Linked DNA regions of Coturnix japonica. The protein of the gene in region 3 interacts with the protein of the main gene of each other region in a biochemical or structural test. Links are inferred from orthologs where the notes say so. Each region holds a gene or a part of one and is shown on either strand. Other genes may lie near its edges.

What was found.
Region 1: the proteins of PDZK1 (region 3) and RPS6KA1 interact in a test that uses a peptide from one of them, tested with the Homo sapiens proteins (2 studies listed by BioGRID and IntAct). The link is inferred for Coturnix japonica from reciprocal best matches to the Homo sapiens genes PDZK1 and RPS6KA1.
Region 2: the proteins of PDZK1 (region 3) and CYSLTR2 interact in a test that uses a peptide from one of them, tested with the Homo sapiens proteins (2 studies listed by IntAct, with this or other methods). The link is inferred for Coturnix japonica from reciprocal best matches to the Homo sapiens genes PDZK1 and CYSLTR2.
Region 4: the proteins of PDZK1 (region 3) and SLC15A5 interact in a test that uses a peptide from one of them, tested with the Homo sapiens proteins (2 studies listed by IntAct, with this or other methods). The link is inferred for Coturnix japonica from reciprocal best matches to the Homo sapiens genes PDZK1 and SLC15A5.

What each region holds. Positions count from the first base shown.
Region 1 is NC_029538.1:170,207-174,231, reverse strand, and holds the start of RPS6KA1 (ribosomal protein S6 kinase alpha-1), read left to right. Parts: upstream 1-1,225; 5' UTR 1,226-1,310; coding exon 1,311-1,373; intron 1,374-4,025. UniProt on the Homo sapiens protein: Serine/threonine-protein kinase that acts downstream of ERK (MAPK1/ERK2 and MAPK3/ERK1) signaling and mediates mitogenic and stress-induced activation of the transcription factors CREB1, ETV1/ER81 and NR4A1/NUR77, regulates translation through RPS6 and EIF4B phosphorylation, and mediates cellular proliferation, survival, and differentiation by modulating mTOR signaling and repressing pro-apoptotic function of BAD and DAPK1.
Region 2 is NC_029516.1:151,145,348-151,149,432, forward strand, and holds the start of CYSLTR2 (cysteinyl leukotriene receptor 2), read left to right. Parts: upstream 1-1,285; 5' UTR 1,286-1,613; intron 1,614-1,728; 5' UTR 1,729-1,803; intron 1,804-4,085. UniProt on the Homo sapiens protein: Receptor for cysteinyl leukotrienes. The response is mediated via a G-protein that activates a phosphatidylinositol-calcium second messenger system.
Region 3 is NC_029516.1:83,006,482-83,011,359, forward strand, and holds the start of PDZK1 (Na(+)/H(+) exchange regulatory cofactor NHE-RF3), read right to left. Parts: upstream 3,256-4,878; 5' UTR 3,076-3,255; intron 761-3,075; 5' UTR 759-760; coding exon 549-758; intron 242-548; coding exon 1-241. UniProt on the Homo sapiens protein: A scaffold protein that connects plasma membrane proteins and regulatory components, regulating their surface expression in epithelial cells apical domains.
Region 4 is NC_029516.1:57,904,811-57,908,789, forward strand, and holds the start of SLC15A5 (solute carrier family 15 member 5), read right to left. Parts: upstream 2,801-3,979; 5' UTR 2,661-2,800; intron 1,013-2,660; exon of another isoform or gene 884-1,012; 5' UTR 863-883; coding exon 496-862; intron 1-495. UniProt on the Homo sapiens protein: Proton oligopeptide cotransporter.

The DNA.
Region 1 (4,025 bases), on a different chromosome or scaffold from region 3:
CATTTTGTTCTCCTCCCTCATACTCCTCTACGCATTCCCAGTTGGTTTGCATGCAGAGTAGCTGGAAATCCAGAACAGGAGCTGCATTTTGCAAACAAACATAGAAGGTAAGCGGGATGCCAGCACTGACATCATCGTGTTATCGATGCCATTTAAAACAGGTTGCAATCTGCAGCAGCTGGAGGAGGGATGCAAGCAAACGGCACACCATGTACCAAACAATAAGGGTAAATTATGGACAGCTTCGGAGCTGAATGAATAACTCTCCGCAAGATCTGCTTCAGCTTGCTCCAACGGTAAGTGACATCAGTTTAATTGGCCTCATTTAGCACCAGCCTGGTGGATCTGTGTTATTTAATGCCTTCATCTGCAACTCAGTGCTTGCAGCACAGAGGGGTGCTCCAAGCACAGACAGCAGTGCTGGGCTCACATACTTTCACCGTGGGAATTTCTTACATCGGATTCCTGCACGTGTGAACAAGATGGGCCTAGTAATGGCTCACAGATCAGTTCTGAGAGCTGTGAGGATGGAGTGGAGTTTCTCAGCCTGCTGTGCTCTGTTCTACTTCAGCTTTCTTCACCTTCACCGCCTCTGATCAGCTCACGGCATTCGGGCCTCACAGGGATGGCTTCACGGGACAGAGTGCAGCAGCAGAGCTGTGTGCTGTGCTTTCCCTTGGGCTCATTAAATGATATTTCAGCCACACCTTGATGAAGTCAGCCCTTAGCAATGCACCCTTTGACGTGGTTATTTGTTTTTGTTTTTTTAATAACAAATCGTTTTAAAGAGGTTGAAAACGTGGTACTTTGGATTTCAGTAAAAGCAAGAAGACAACTCCTCCTGCACGAGAAACCCGGCAAACCCAAACAGTGCCGCATGTGTTCTGAGCAGCTGTGCTCACAGTACCTTTCCTCCGAGCATCCACCGAGGCAAAGCGGGGAGGGGTTCGTTACCCGTATTCGAGGAGAGCACCGCGATCAGCCACTCATCTCCAACCGAAGAATCCAAAGGTGTGCGTGGATATACACACGATCCTTCATTCACGTCGCTGCCTGAAGGAAAAGCGCAGGGCGGGGGTGGGTCAGGAAGGGCTTAAGGAAAGGCTCCGCACCGCAGTGGGCTGCCCAGGGCAGCGAGCGCAGCCGAGCGACGGTTCCCCGAGACCAGCTCGGAGCCGCCCCGGAGCCGGGAGGAGCCGCGCCGCCCCCCGCCCCGCCCCGCCGCTCCCGGCCCGGCTCGGGCAGCCGGTGCCCAGCGCGGGGCACGGAGCCGAGCGTTGCCGCGCCCTGCGGGGCTGCTCGCCGGCAGGATGCCGCTCGCACAGCTGGCCGAGCCCTGGCCCAACATGGAGCTGGTGCAGCTGGATACGGAGGTGAGCGGGGTGAGACGGGCGGCGACCCCCAGGGGTCTCGCGGAACAAAGGAGAGCCCGGCCGGCCTGCTCCTTTTCTTCCTTCCCTCCCTTCCTTCCCTCCCTCCCTCCGCTCTTGCCCCGCTGCTCCAACTGAGCCCCGCGGGGTTGGGAAGCGCGGCGGATCGCTGGGAGCTGCCGGCTGCGCTGCTTTCCTTCGGCTCCTCGGTACGAGCTGTGAACGCGAGCACGGCTCTGCTCTGGGAGCTTCCCCCGCCCGCCTCAGCGCTGCCCAGCCGCCGTCCTGCGTCTGTCCGCTGGATGTTGTGCGCTTCGCTCTTAACGAGCCCCCCCAGCCCAGGTGTGCGCTGCCCGCACCGCGCTTCGCACCGCAGCCGCCGCAGCACGTCGGCACCGCTCGCAACCTTTTCCTCGCTGTGGTGCAGCCGAGGTGTGAGCACAAACGGCTCCTCAGCCCGGCTGCAGCTCGCGGCTTTCGGGATGGGTTCGTGCGGGTTTTGTCCCGCTTCGCTCGCTCCCTGCCGCTCTCCCGTTTTAGACCTTCTGCCTCTTACCCCTCCTATCGTGCCGAGGGATGTCACAGTGGTTAACTGGTCAGTTTCGTTTATTCCTACTTAAAATTATCTCTTAAGGAAGCTCTGCTGGGAACGGAGGCCAGGTTGCCCAGCTGTCACAGCCAGATGTGAGGGGTGGGCGGCTGCGCCTCGTGCTGTGCACTCACCTCTGCTTGGGGTGTGGGGATGTGCCTGTGTCCTTCGGGGACTGGGTCGTGGTCCTGAGGCCATAACGTGCTCAGGGAAAGCTGGGTGTGATGGGGGGATGCGATTTGTCTGGAAAACAAACTTGGAGTGGGAGGAAACTAATGCTGGTGCCTGGGGCGATAGATGCCATGGGCAGGATTGGTGTGTCACTTAATCCTGGGGATTCGGGTGCTGGGTGGCAGCTGTGCCAACACCACAAACGTCTCCCCTGGCTGGAAGCAGCCACGGGGGCACCACATTCATCAGCCAAAGTCCCTCAGGAAGATTGTGGCAGCAGCGAGGGCTCCTCTCCCCATTGCATTAGTTGTGGATGTGTACTCTGTAAACTGCAGCTGCAGGCTGCCTTTCCCAGCTCTCCTTGGCAGGGCTGGAGGTTGGCGGCAGGGCTGGGAGCAGAGTGCTGGTGCTGGAAGGCACTTGACACCTCAGCACTGTGCCAGGTGGGACACCAGCAGCTCTGCTCCCTCGGGCTTCAGGTGAGCGATGTGCTCGGTAGCATGGGCACTCTGCACCTCTGGGCGCTGCTGCAGGCACCTGGAGCCGACAATCTGTGAATGGCAGAGAAGGACTTGGTGGAGTTTTGCACGCAGTGAGGTTCTGTTTGCCAGGGGCAGGAAGGTTCACCTTCTGTAGGGCAAGGTGGCACCAAAGAGAGAAACCAAAGAGACTTTTCTGGAATGCGTTACGTAAATCGCCTGGGATCGCTGCCATCGAGGTGTAAAGCCAGCTTCCTCCAACCTTTGCTTTCTGAGTCACGGAGCAGAGGTGCTGGCACTGTGCTGCGGAGGCACCCAACTCATTGTGTCAGGGGGTTTTTCCACTGCTCCCCAGGAGCAGCTGCTGAGCTGGTCACAGCCAGCACCCACTGTCTCAGAGCTGTGCTGAGGAAGCAGTGGGAGGGTGAGCTGTCCTGTGGACTGAGCTCGCTTCATCATGCTTCCTTCTGTTTACAAGGGTGGACAGTGATAGGACAAGGAGGAATGGTTTTAAACTAAGACGGGAGATTTAGGTTGGATCTTAGGAGGAAGTTTTTCCCCAAGAGGGTGGTGACACACTGGAACATGTTGCCCAAGGAGGCTGTGGATGCCCCATCTCTTCAGGCATTCAAGGCCAGGCTGGATGTGGCTCTGGGCAGCCTGGGCTGCTGGTTGGTGACCCTGCACACAGCAGGGGGTTGGAGCTGGATGAGCATTGTGGTCCTTTTCTACCCAGGCCATTCTATGATTTCATTCTATGATTTCATTTATTCCAGTTCTTTTATTTTTATTCCCTGCTCTATTTTTTTCTGCCTATTTGGAATGTTGCTTATGTGGTAGAAAAACCTGTGTGGGGCAGAGCACTAGAGATGGAGCAGAGCTGAATGACTGCATTGCCATAGTGATGGGAGCTGCCATCATGGCTGTGCATGCCTTTAAACTCTTGTTGTCATACACAAACACAGAGCAACACAGATGACATGAGATTACGACAAACCCAACCACTCCAAGCTAATTATTTTGGCCTGTGTGTGTGCATCTGCTCATCCCTTGTTGAGCAGAAGCTATTCAGGAGTAACTGTCTTTCTCTGTGTGCATTTCAGCTTAAAAGTGAAGACAGTGATGATCAAAGGGGAGGAAGCAGAGAGGTTTCTGTCCATGATACACTTTGAGCACTGTCTCCTCTTGCGTGGGGAACTCTGGAGGGAAGAGCTGGAGATGGTTGTTTTTGCAGAGTTCTGTCCTTTCCCCTGTGCCATGGGGTGATGTGTGTTGGCAGCACTGAGAGAAGCGCACAGCCCGCATGGTGCTGCCCGTCCTGACATTTGTCCTCCTTACGTATCAGAGCAGCGGTTCCCTGTTCTGTAAATTGCTCCTCCACATGCTTCAGATTAGGTGGAATTAAAGGGATTTAAA
Region 2 (4,085 bases), about 68 Mb from region 3:
GGCTCTGACACTGAAAGCTGTCCTTCAAGCCACTTGTGGGATCATTTCCTACTCTGCTTCAATCCAAAGGGAATGAGCTGAGACCTCCTGTTTCAGGTGTCTGGGGTGAATATCTCCAAGGCTAAATAGGGTTTGAGAGCACACATTTGAGCAACTTTGCTGGCAGACTTTGGACTGGGACAGTAAGCAAAGCAACTGGAAGAGGACAACTATGCAAGGCCCTCAGTGCAACGAGAGCAGGCAAGGTCTGAAGTTACTAGTCTAGTTCCTTTATAAGCTGGTTTTCCATGTCCTCCTTCAGGTCTATGCTTTAAAAAGCTTATAGCACTGCTTACAAGCTGTATGTACCTCCTCCCTGGTGCAGGGATCTGTGAGCTCTGGTGACACTCACCTACACAGCCACTGCCTGCTGCAACTCCAGCCCCACATGGGGAGCAATAGGGCTATTACACCTCTTTGGTAGTCCATGTATACAGCTAAAGTGAAGAGCACTAGCAATAAATGACAGTGAAGTGCAGGTGGCCAACAGAGGGGAGATTACAAACAGGATTGTCCAAAGCAATTTGGGATGTAAACGACTGTAAGTGTAGGTGGTGAGGTTTGCTGGGAGACTCTCCAGCTACTGAACTGTAGTACATAGCAGGATTCCTGACCTACTGCCAGCTATCACAGCACAGCTGAGGCTGGCAGGGCCCTCTGGGTCCCTCTGCTCCAGCCCCTGCCCCAGCAGGGACACCCAGAGCAGGGTGCCTAGGGCTGCATTCACGCAGATCTGGAAGATCCCCAAGGAGGAGATCCCACATCACTGGGCAGCCTGTGCCAGTGCTCTGTCACTGCACAGCACAGAGGTATTTCCTGATGTTTATGAAATGAAACACAGCACCTAGAGATACATCTGGTCCTCCCGTGTGTGTTGACAGAACAGAAGAATAAACAGTTACATCTGCCGTGTGTATAGAACCCTATTTCACAACTGCAGTAAACTAGGAGCACTCATCTGTGCCATCTGTGTTTGGATGTGGTGCTCAGGGACATGATTTAGTGGAGGGTTGTTAGAGTTAGGGTAGTATGGTCAGGTTGTGTTTGGACTTGATGATCTTAAGGTCTCTTCCAACCTGAGCAATTCTATGATTCTATGATCCTGTGATCACTGTTGCAGTAAGGCGTTCACTGCAGCTTCTTGTTATGGCCTAAAATAGCAACGTATTTACTCCCTATCAGCGGTCAAAAAAAAAAAAAGCAGTCCCTTGGCTCCACAAACTCATCCTTGAATTGCTTGTGCTGAATATGGTTACTCATTAACCCCTAGAAGCATGCTTATGGTTTCACTCATTTCTGCACGAGAAGCCTGGGAAATAATGCTTCGTAATTCCACAGACTCCAATTACAGTGATCCATGTGAATGACATACGGGAACCTATCCTAAGAAATCAAGCAATGCCAGTTACTGAGAGTGCAGATATTTAAGTGCGGCCCAAACACAGGAATCCAGACAGTTTCCAGATGCTACATTAGCTGCAGGGCCCTTTTTGTTGGGCCAAAGCGCATGCGACACTGCCGTGCGATTGCTAGCAGCCCTCCTTGAGCTGAGAACATTTCTCTCTTAAGAAAACGTAAGATCTACTAATCAGGACCTACTTCCTTTTCTTACTACTGTTTGCTCTTGTGTGGCTTCTGCGTAAACAGCATTCGGGTTTTGCTTCAAGTTTTTGTGCTTCTGATTTCCAGCAACAAAACTGAAAGTGGTAAGCAACAGTGGGCAGAAGAAGGAGACCGAGCACACCAGAAGGCACACCAGCTGAGGTAAGACAAGGCTTGCCTGCTTTTTCTGACATAGATAGAATAGCTGCAGTGAAGAAAATACAATCTGCTTATATATTGCTTGCGGTAAGCTTTGCATATGATAGAAGCTGTGATCGTTAACTAAATTTCTCTATGACAAAGTTGGGCTTGAGAATTTTCTTTGGCAGAAAGGGTGGATTTATGTAACTTGCAGTGCTTCCAGATGGAAGATGACAGTCAAGTAGTGGGTCTGATTAAGTGAGTGCTGGCTTTTAACGAGATGACAAAAATATGTGGTCAATGGCAAACTTAAAATTAAAGAGGCTAGGAGTTAGAGTCTGAATTTATTTATCTGTAATATTGTGCATGCAGCGAGGTTAATAAAGCACTGCATGTTTTGGTGGATGTAATTCACTGTTAATTCCAAATACTGCATTCTGCTACATTTATTCTTGGTAACGCTACTCCTTAAAACACAACACGAAGACAGCAGAAGGAAAGCTAATGGGAACTTTGAGACATGTCAAAACTTTTGGTTTTCTCGAGATACAGAGGCAGATGCAAGCAATCCCAAACATAGCAGCAATGCCATGACTGCCTTAATATTATGAGTATGGGATTGTTGTGGCAGAAGCCTTCTTCTGACAGAGGACTGTTGTGATAGATGCACGGAGCACCTCCTTTTCCTGACATACAAACGGATCAATATATTTAATCTCTTAGGGCAAAAAAGACATGTATTTTGAATGAACATTCTGATACCTTTATTTATCACTGCATGTGCAGAACACCTCACCGAAAATATGTTCTCTGTGTTATAGAGATCTCAGGGTTTCAAAGTAGCGGATGTGAGAAACTTCTCAGTCTGGAAATGGAGAGTTTCCCTTTTACACTTTTAGCAGCAGCCTCTTCCAGCTCACCTCCCCCAGTGAGAGGAGATGACACAGAAAACAGCCCTCTTCTATCTGCCTGACCATAGACTCCCAACAGCCCTGATGAGCACCCCATGTGGGAACACATCAGTAGTGGTACATTCACACTATCCACCTCCTTCAGGAACCTGTAAAGCTTGACTGCATGTCTATCCTGTCTATGCTGAATTTACCCATACTTTTGAGTCCTTGCTCCGTCACCTTGCTGATTTCACTCACCCCTCTCTGCCTCTTCCCTAACTCTATAATGTCTTTTTTTGGGGGGTGCAGAGAGCAGAACTGCATGGCACATTCACTGGGGGAATGCAGGAAGGTTTTATACAAGGTGATTTTATACCAGCTGACCCAGACTTCTTGGTGATGTGACTCATTTTCTTGAAATTCTTGTTGCTTCCGCTGCAGCTTATGCAGAAATGACTTTGGCAAACAGTCGATGATGGGTCTATCACTGATGCCAAATGCCCTTTCCTCACAGTAACAGTTTCAAGTTCTGTATCATGTAAGCATGGTTTAGGTTATTTGCTCCAGCATTTATCACCTTCTACTAAAATGCTCATCTGCCAGCTTTCCAGCATGGCATCAATGAATGTCAGTGGGTGTAATTTTTTCCTCATGGAAGAGCTCTGTGACACTCCTTTGCTTCAAACACACGTCCTTGTCAGACACCATTTTGTCAGATTGTCCCTCTGATGCCATCTGCCAACAAAATGTAACAGGATGTTGTTGGGTAGGTTCCACATCTACTGCCATACCATTGCCTTCTGACTCTAATGTCATGGGCCAAAACAGTAAAACAGGAGGCATTACTTTTGGAGCAGCTCTCATATATATGGAAATCGGTCTTGGGGGTCAGTAGGCTCCCAGGCATCAGGACTGCTGACTCACAGCCCCCAGGCTTCTCTCCCACGCTGTTCTTGTAGATGAAGAGCTGCCCTAGTGATGCAGTGGTCCCCTGGAATGGCACATGATTATAATGGTGGGTTATGTGCCTTGGACAGCAGTCCAAGTCTGAGAGCCTTTGGGGTACTCATACAAATGTCATCTGGTCCTGATTACTTATTGGCCTCTCATCTGTCTATTCAGTTTGATATTTCCTACACATGTATGTCCAGTGCATCCAGCTCCTCCAACCTTACAGAAGTTTTGTTGAATCCTCTGTGATTTGGTTGTTGCTGTTGTGTGGTTTTGGTTTTGTGTGGTTTCTTTTGATTGTTTGTTTGTTGTTTTTACTGTTTTCCTATTCCCTCTAAAATGATGTCGATTTCTTGGTCCTGGGACTGCTCCTCTCTCCCACAACACTGACACTGTGAGTCCTATCATGATTGCTGGTACAGTGCTCCCTCCCTCCCTCCTGCCAGAACTGGGGCCTGT
Region 3 (4,878 bases):
AGCCATACCCCTTCTCCTCCTTTACTAAGTAGCAGAGTCGTGGTTGTGGAACGGCAGTGATTGCTCCATTAGCCATGGGCAGTGTGGACTGCTTCTCCTCCTTTTTCTCCTTCTTTCCTTTTGACACCTTTTGACCCAACTCTTCCAGATTCGCTCCCTCCTTTTCTGCCTTTTTATAAGATGCTTCATCCAGAACAAGAAATACAACAGAATTTCCACTGTTCTTCACAATCTCCACCACCTGTAATGGACAAGGTGAAATCAAAGGTGAATTGCTCAAGCAGAGTGATTGACCTAAAAGCTTTCTCCAGGAAGGATTAAACTCTCTATTGGTTTTGTTGTCACATCCTTCTGCTGATGCACTATGGAGGCACCTCAAAAACATTTCCTACCCATGATGGATAATAAATGATGCAGAGAGGTATCCAGAGCTGTTGACTCAGCTCTCGGACTTTTCCACCATAGAAATGGAAGAGAAAGCTTCCAATAGTGACAGCGGGTCTGGATCATGGGAGGTGATGTAGCCTCCAGACTAAACAGATTTGTACCTTTGCATGTTCCTCCTTGTCTACAAACACACCATTAACCCTGAGGACTCTGTCTCCATCCTTCAAGCCAGCCTTTTCAGCAGGGCTGTTCTTTTCCACATTCCGGATGAGATGTCCTGCTGTGTCTTTCTCCACACGCAGGAAAAATCCATAGCTCTTCTTGCTTTTCTTGGTCACTTTGCACTCTCGTGGCTGGAGAACAGAAGTCATCTCTACGAAACAGGATGGAAAAACTAATTGTGAGTTTAAAAAAAAAAAAAAAAAGCAAGCTGAGACAGTTTGCTTCAGAATCCTTAAGGTTTGGGTTCCTGGGAAATCCAGCTGTGCAAAGGGAGATTAAATGAATCCTTTTTACCTGCTAACTCCAAGATGAATGGACTGGCTCTGTGACAGGCATAGAACGATGAACGATGTACTCTTTAACTATTGCAATACCTTTGAGAGGGTCTCTTGTACAGTAAGTGTGGATGACTTGTTGACATATGGACTGAATAAGCAGATTCTGTAGGTGGGCAGAAGATTGGCTGAGCCATTAGGTTCAGAGGGTTTTTATTGGTGGCACTTAATCCAGCTGTTGGCTGCTTTTTATTGACAATGTTTAGGGTTGGTACTGGTACTGATAGATACTGTTTAACATTTTTATTTATGACATGGTCAGTGCAGCAGAATATATCCTCAACAAACGTGATGGATAATATTAAACAGAGGGGAGCAGTCAATAGGATGGTGGTTAGGGATGCTATTTAGAGAGACCTCAACAGGCTGGAGAGAGGAGCTGTCAGAAATATCGAAACATTTAACAGAGAAAAGTGGAAAAAAATCTATATCTAAACCATGCATAACGACAGCACAGGCTGGCTGGTCAGTTTGTGCACTTACGTGTTGTCCTGCAAAACTTCACATCAGTTGGTGTAGCTTTGCAGTGAAGATCAACTGGATAGTGGGCTATATCTGAATGTATCTAGCAAGTCAATGAAGGGATTGTTCCCTGCTGTTTGGCACTTGTAAGGCTATGCGTGACTGCTGTTTTGAGCTCTCTGTGTCACTGACATACTGAAACTAATCCACTGGGGTGGGTTAGGTTTTGGAGCGCAACTTGTTTGAAGAGGGTTTGAGAGAGCTGAGTTTGTTCAGTCTTGGGAAAAGAAAGTAAATGAAAGTTCTTATTTGCATTTTCAAGTGCCTAATCGGATGGTGTAGAAAACACAGATCCTTATTATTCTTGGATGTTAATACTGATGAGAGGCAACAGATACTGGTCGCAGTGAGGGGAAGTCTAATTAGAGAGAGGTAAGGTCAGCTTTTTAATCTCTGGTGCTTTCAGATACTTGAACAAGAACCTAGAGTGGCTGTGGAATCTCCATCCTTGGAGGTGCTTACCTGGATGAGACCCTGATAAACTTGGTCTAAGTTGGCTTGGTTTAGCATGAGCTATTGGACCAGATGAGCTCCAGAAGTTCCTTCCAAGCTAAAATATTCTATATTTTTATGATACAATGAAATTGTCTCGTGTAGCTCATTATCAGTAAGAGAGACATTATGTTCAGAAAGTAAGCAGTAGTTATGATCAAGGAGCAATTCCAAAGTTCGCTATCTTGTTGTCTTAGGAACTCCTGCCAAAGATCCACTATGACATAAGAAATAAGATAAATGATGGCAACTTTCTCCATCCAGGTAATTACCACACTTGATGTGTGTCTTACTGGATTGATTGTTTTTTTTTCTCGCTCCTGTTAGAAGTTTGTGAAAAGCCCAAAGATCTGTTGCAGAGGTTGGCCATTAGTCTCAGCCTAATAAATACTAAAAAATTTCATCTGCCTGCATGAACTCTTTACAGTTCTTTCTTTTTTCTGTTTCTGTATATCACTCACGTAACTTATGTGTGTGAAAACTGACCTTTTCTTTTACTTGTTTTTAGAAGTAGCCAGTGGTCAAATCTCTCCACGTTCTTGATAGCAGCCTACTGCTGAAGTACATCTGGCTACTCATGAAAATATAGAGTATTTGTTATGGAAGCTAAAACTGTGTTGTTAAGGTTAGTTAGTCAGCTTATAGAAAAGTATGGGTGAGGAGTGGGGAGTTGGCAGGGATGTCACTGAAGCTGGAGAAGATGGAACATTTCAGCATGTATGGATAGGCAGGCTGTGGGTTCTGAGTTTCTTATTCCCGTTGGTGAGGTACTTAGTGGTTTTTGGAGTCTAAGTATAGTGGCATCAAGAATAACTTCACATAGGGATGTCCTGCACTATTGTTTAGACATTGTACTGATCTCAACTAGAACTCGGAGCAGCTTTTCTCGACAAACACTGGGAAATTTGGTTAACTCCTGATGTTTACAGAAAACCAGCAGTAAACAAAGCTGAAGGAACAGTAAGCTTTTACAGGACAGATTATCTCTTCATATGTAGAAATGGAGGGAAGACCATAGTGGGCTGCAAACAACTTTTCACTTCATGAAAACTTTATATGCAAGATTATCAGACTCCTAAAACACAGTTTTATATAGCAAAAAAAAGGAATAACTTACCTGTATATCTGTGTGAAGCAGCCTTTGCAGGAATCCTCTCTTGCTGTCCCTCCTGTAGCTGTACCTATAGGTAGGACTGGACTTTGATTGGGCAAAGGTTGATTTAAAAGATGATTTATTTAACCAAGTTTCACTGAATATGCTCGATGCCTTGATAAGCTGCCTTGTCCTTGCCTGCAGAAGTGCAGATCACATGTATTCCTCATCAGCTTTGAATTCTGTTCTACTGATAATTATACTCAAAAAAACTCAGTCAAGAAGGTGATCTTTGCTCTGTGCAAGAACCTTCTTCAGCTATAAGTAGTGTCCTAAAGGAATGTGTTTGGATTGTCATGTGCTGACGATGACTAGTTAGTGTTTGATTGCAGATCGAGAGGTTCCCAATTCAAACCCGTGCACTCCATGTAGGGTGCCAAACATAGGGTTGTGATGGGTTAATCTTGGCCAGCAGTTAGATGCCCACCTATCTATTCTCTCATTCCCCTCCTCAGCTGGATGGCTTGTGGAAGTGTGAGGAATCTGAAATAATGACAGTAATTGGGAGAGATGCAATGTGCCAAGTGGTTGTGATTGAGGGGTAGACCTGATGATTGAGAACATCCCACAGGCCACCTGCAGATGTGAAACATGCATTGCAATCAATGAAAGGACACAAAGTCCCTACAGTGCATGTAGGGAAGTTGTTGAGAAAGACAGTTTCTTTTTGGAAAGGGATGACCCACTTGCAGAATTGTCTTTGCTCAAAGATCAAAGTGTAATTGGTGGTCAGTGTGGAAGGATGAGCAAATTTGTTATGTACCTCAAAGAGATCTATACGTTGCACAATTTGACTTGTACAATACAGGAAGTAATACAGCAGAAACCACCTGAACTAAAAGGGAGTGAGTTTCACATGGAAGTATGTGAATACAATGACCCACCTCAAGCTGGTGTTGGTGCCCAGTGATCCAACATTCTGCTCCCCCTGTCCTGAGTGATGGCCTTGATGAATGGGACAAAAGTCCAGCGGGTATTTAGATGCATTAGATAACATGGAACCTAAGAATGGCGCAAATGATATGGAATAAGGGGATAAGGTTATACTGAGTCTGCCTGGGACAGAGCTAACTTTCCTCGTGGCAGCCTGTGCAGTGCTGTTGTTTGCATTTGTGTCTGAAACAAATCACACCAGGGATTTGGCTGTCATTGAACAGTGTGCGAACTACCAAGACTGTCTCTCCATCCCTCTTCTCCTGCCCCCAGGTGAGTAGAGTGGATGTGAACAAGATGTTGGGGAAGAACAGACCAGAGACAGCTGACCCAGACAGACTGAAGGGATATTCTGTGCCATTTGGCATCATGCTCAGCATTAAGTCATGCAGAAAGGAGGAGGAATGGGGTGACACCTTTGATTGTGGTGTTTGTCTTCCAAAACAACTGTTAAGCTTTTTGCCTCCCAGTAAGTAGCCTGCTGATGTAAGGTAGTGAATGAATTAATCCCTCTTTTCATGTTCTATACATGTACAATATTTTCTGTACACTAAACTGTCACTGTCTCAGCTCCAAAGTCTTGCCTTCTGTTTTCTCCACCTTCCTACAGGGAAGAGACAGGATGGTTGTTTGGCTGCAGAGTGAGGTCAAACCCACTGAACACGTCTACTAGACATAAGCATCTGCTGACTGAACTGATGGCATTTCTGAATTGGGGAAAGCCTCTGAATTGGAGATCTTGGTATGCCAAGATACTTAGTGAAATGATAGCATGAAGTTCTTGCTACAAAGTCTCTTTCAGTTCCGGAAAGCTTTAAAGAGACTGATCCCCTT
Region 4 (3,979 bases), about 25 Mb from region 3:
CCTACTCATTGCAATGTTTGTCTATACTGGTGTGTTCTTAAGTGCATCTTTCCCAGTTATTCAGCTACAACAGTCATGTCTTCACATGCTACCAACAGCTGGGAAGTTATCTCCACTCTCTTTATCAAACTCTGTCTAAAACATCACATGTGCCCTAAACACTAGCAACAACAAATGCATGTTAAAGGGACCAAGTCTAAGAAATAGCTGAGCAACTGCATTCTTAAGAGCTAAGCCAGTTTAGAGAAGACCACATAGCTGCTAATCCATAAGATGCACATGAAAATGCTTCTTGGTCTTGCTCTACGTATTACAAAATACATACAAAAATACATAGGCAGAAAACTACAAAATGTTTTGTAGAGGAAAAATGATTTGTTATGAGCAAAACTGGCCATGAGCTTGGAGAAAGTTACTGAATTTCAAACAGTGTTCAACAATGCATTTCTATAACAGAAGTACTATAGCATTAAAGGACATCTGAGTGTCACCTACCTAGGAAGTGTAGAAACATGCAGATGCACACTAGCTTGATCCGCCCCACAAGGCACTCAGCGAGCCAGCCAGCCAGCACTGGTGTCAGCATGGAGGTGCCCACAAAGCACATATTGACAATGGCAGCCTGGTAGTTGCGATAGCCAAGTCTGACAGTGCAGAAGAGGATCATATTGCAGACAATGCCAAAGAATGTGAACCTCTCACACAGCTCCACCAGCAGCACACAGATAGCCTCCTGGACTTTCTTCTCAGGCAGAGTCAGGTTTCCAGCATGGTTTCTTCTACCAGGTAGCAGGTTTTTCTCCTTTTCAGTATCAGTCATAAGCTGCTTCTCTTGAATGTCACCACTGCCTGCACCAGGCATGCTTGACTTCTTTGACTAGGACTCAGGAAGACAGCTTAAGTTAAAGGTAAACTTCTGTTCTCCTCCACTGTAATTAGCAAACTGGTAAGACTCTCGCTTTGAATTCCACACTTTACCACTACAATTTCGTAGGCACCAGTCACTTTTGTGCTATTACATGTAGGATCAAAGAGTTTCCAATAAATAAATTAATCAGAGACATACCAACAATTCAACTTTTGAACTTAGCAACATTCAGGAACATGGTCTATTTAATTAATCCATTTATATACAAAAAAGACTTTTTTCTCCCAAATTATGTTATCTGTTAATTACTTGAGTCCAGTACAGTACATACAACTCTATTTGTATGTTAAAGGTAAAGGTTTAAATACACAGGAAAGCCAACGTCTACAGCAGAATTCAAATAATAAATCAAGAAAATAATTTAGATATAATAACCTGGAGCTTTAAATAGGCAAGAGTTGGAAAACTGCAAGCCAAGAGTTTTTCTTTAAAAAAAAAACATTAACAGTAATTTATTAGATTTGTTATATTTAGCTGAATTCAGATAAGTTAATTGTAAAAATAAGTAATGCTACTACATTTACATTGGAGAAGCAAATTTTAAAAGGAAATAAGTTGGATGCATTAGCAAAGAGTAAAAGCTATCTGAAAACAACATAAACCAAAACTGCTTCTCTAACCAGTTATTGTGTAACAATACATTGTACAGGACAAGAGCTCATACAATTTCTCTCCCCAGTAAAAGCAATCACTAGCTTAAATAATAGTTCTGATGAACCAAAGTTATGGTGCTTTATAATGCTCCCTATGCCTCTCATTCACAGAAAAGTTTACAGATTTCCCAAATCAGTTTCTTTATTTCACAGAGCTCATTAAGTTAACTATCACCTCTTTGAAACTCTTCTAAAGAGGTATGAGAAGTACTTCAGACAAACAAAATGCACAGGCATGTAGCAAAGCAGTGGTAAGTCAGGTATACTTCTTTAAGATGATCCCTCAATGTCTCAGCATTTTTTGTGCTGTATTTTTATATCTGTCTATATAACTACTTACAGTTTATCTTCTCATACCTATTAAGACTCCTACATCACCAAACTGATGCACAATAGTATATAACCAGTACTGATAGATTCCAAGACCACTGCCAAATAAAATCTTTGAATGCTATTTCCAAATTCTAGTTTGCTTCCTTGTCTTGTTTCTAAAGCATCCGACCTAAACACAAAGCCTAGAAAAACTTGGTTCTACATAGCAAAACACTGTTCCCTAAAATAATTTTATAATACATGTTTTTTAAAACTAGTAAAAACCTGAAAACCAGAATTGTAACAATGAATAAATCTTAGCCAGAGATGTCCAAATGAGGATGAAAATAGCCAAGACACATAACATAAATAACATAAGAAAAAAATAACTACTTCTCTTTTCACCTACAGTAGCTATGAAGACTTTCATTTGGACAAACCCAGCAGATAAATCCAACCTAGAACTCACCTGTAACTCAACCAACCTCACTAAAGCCTAATGAAACCAAATCCAAGAACAAACAGTAAATGCTTTTAGACCAAAAGGCATATATATCTTCCATTGAACAAAGATACTCTCATTTAACTGTTCAAACAGAAAATGTTATTACCTTACTTTTGCTTTGTTTAGAAAATACAACCTTTAAGATAATATTAGTATCAGATAGAAAATACCAGATAACCACACTCTTACTACTAGGGACACTTCAGTATAAAATAGCCTGGTTTTCTACAAGCTACTTTGTCTTTAAAAGTGCAAAGTTTACCTGTTTGCATGGGTGCTAATAATTCAATGTGAATCATATCATGGAAACTACTTGTAACCTTGCTGTTTCTAACTAAAATATCAGTATCATAGTCTTCACATAGTTTTATTTACTCTATCACTAGATAACAAATGAGGGAAAGGAAATAATTGGCTGAGCTTTATATATGCCATTGAAAGGAGGCAGTGGTGATCGTTTTCATTATTGTTTATTCTGAATTGCCTTTGCATGTGGCCACTGAGGGTGTGGTGATCCTGATAGTCAAAGGTAATAATTAGTAAATGAGTTAATGATGTCCTCAGTGAAAACACTGTGGTCTTTCTTGATCTAATTATTTAATCACATCTGCAGCAGATATGAGGGAATTCCATGACATGGTTTTAATTGAGTTCTCCTTGAATCACCTAGTATTCTCTTAGCTTGTTCTTAATAAAAAAGGTAGTAAAACTAAACAGAGCAAGAATTCAAAATGTAGGTTTAATTTCAGTATAAACTGCCTTTGTCTTTTTCTGAGTTTTTTGTTTTTTAGTTTCTTTTGTTCCTTTCCCTTTTTCTTTCCTTCATATGTTTCAATCAATTTGAACAATATTGTTTTTCCTGGGGAGGATTATGAAACAATTTCTGTTTAAAGTCTTACTTTAGACAACTATTTCAGAGATTTCTGTGCAAACAGAATTCAGTCAGAACTGACATGAACTGGAATCAATTATAGGTTAAGATGGTCTTGTTTTGTCTTGTAGTTCACAGCATTTGAAGCCCGTATCTGGCTCTTCTGAAGAACTTTGTGAGCATCACTAAAAATGCAGGATAACATTTGCCTGCATGTTTGACTACATACCAGAAGAACAAATACAAACAAAACCTAAGTACTCTGTAAATAATGTAAAAGATCAATTAAGATGGTGAAATGCAGTCATCAGGAATGAAGCTAAGAAGTTTTGTTTGTGAAATCTGTTAGGTTAGCAAATCTAATAAAACTCTACTGTGTTTTATAAAGATCTGTTGCACACCATATAAGTACACTTCGATGGCTGGAAAAAAGCATCAATGAAATAATCAGTTATTAACATTTTTGAATATATAAAAAATTATCTCAGACCTTCTGCATCTATGGTATCCATCACATCATGTCTGGATAATTTTTTCCTTCACTAAGCATTCAGGTAATTCTTTTCCACACTTGAACTGGAGGCAACTGAGAACCCTAGCTCAGTTCTGCATTGCTGTAGGACAGATAGTCGCTAACTTGTTCTGCAGCAGCTTTTGTCTGTGAAAGGGCAAGACCAATCTGAAAGATTTAATGTAGAGAATAGTTGTAT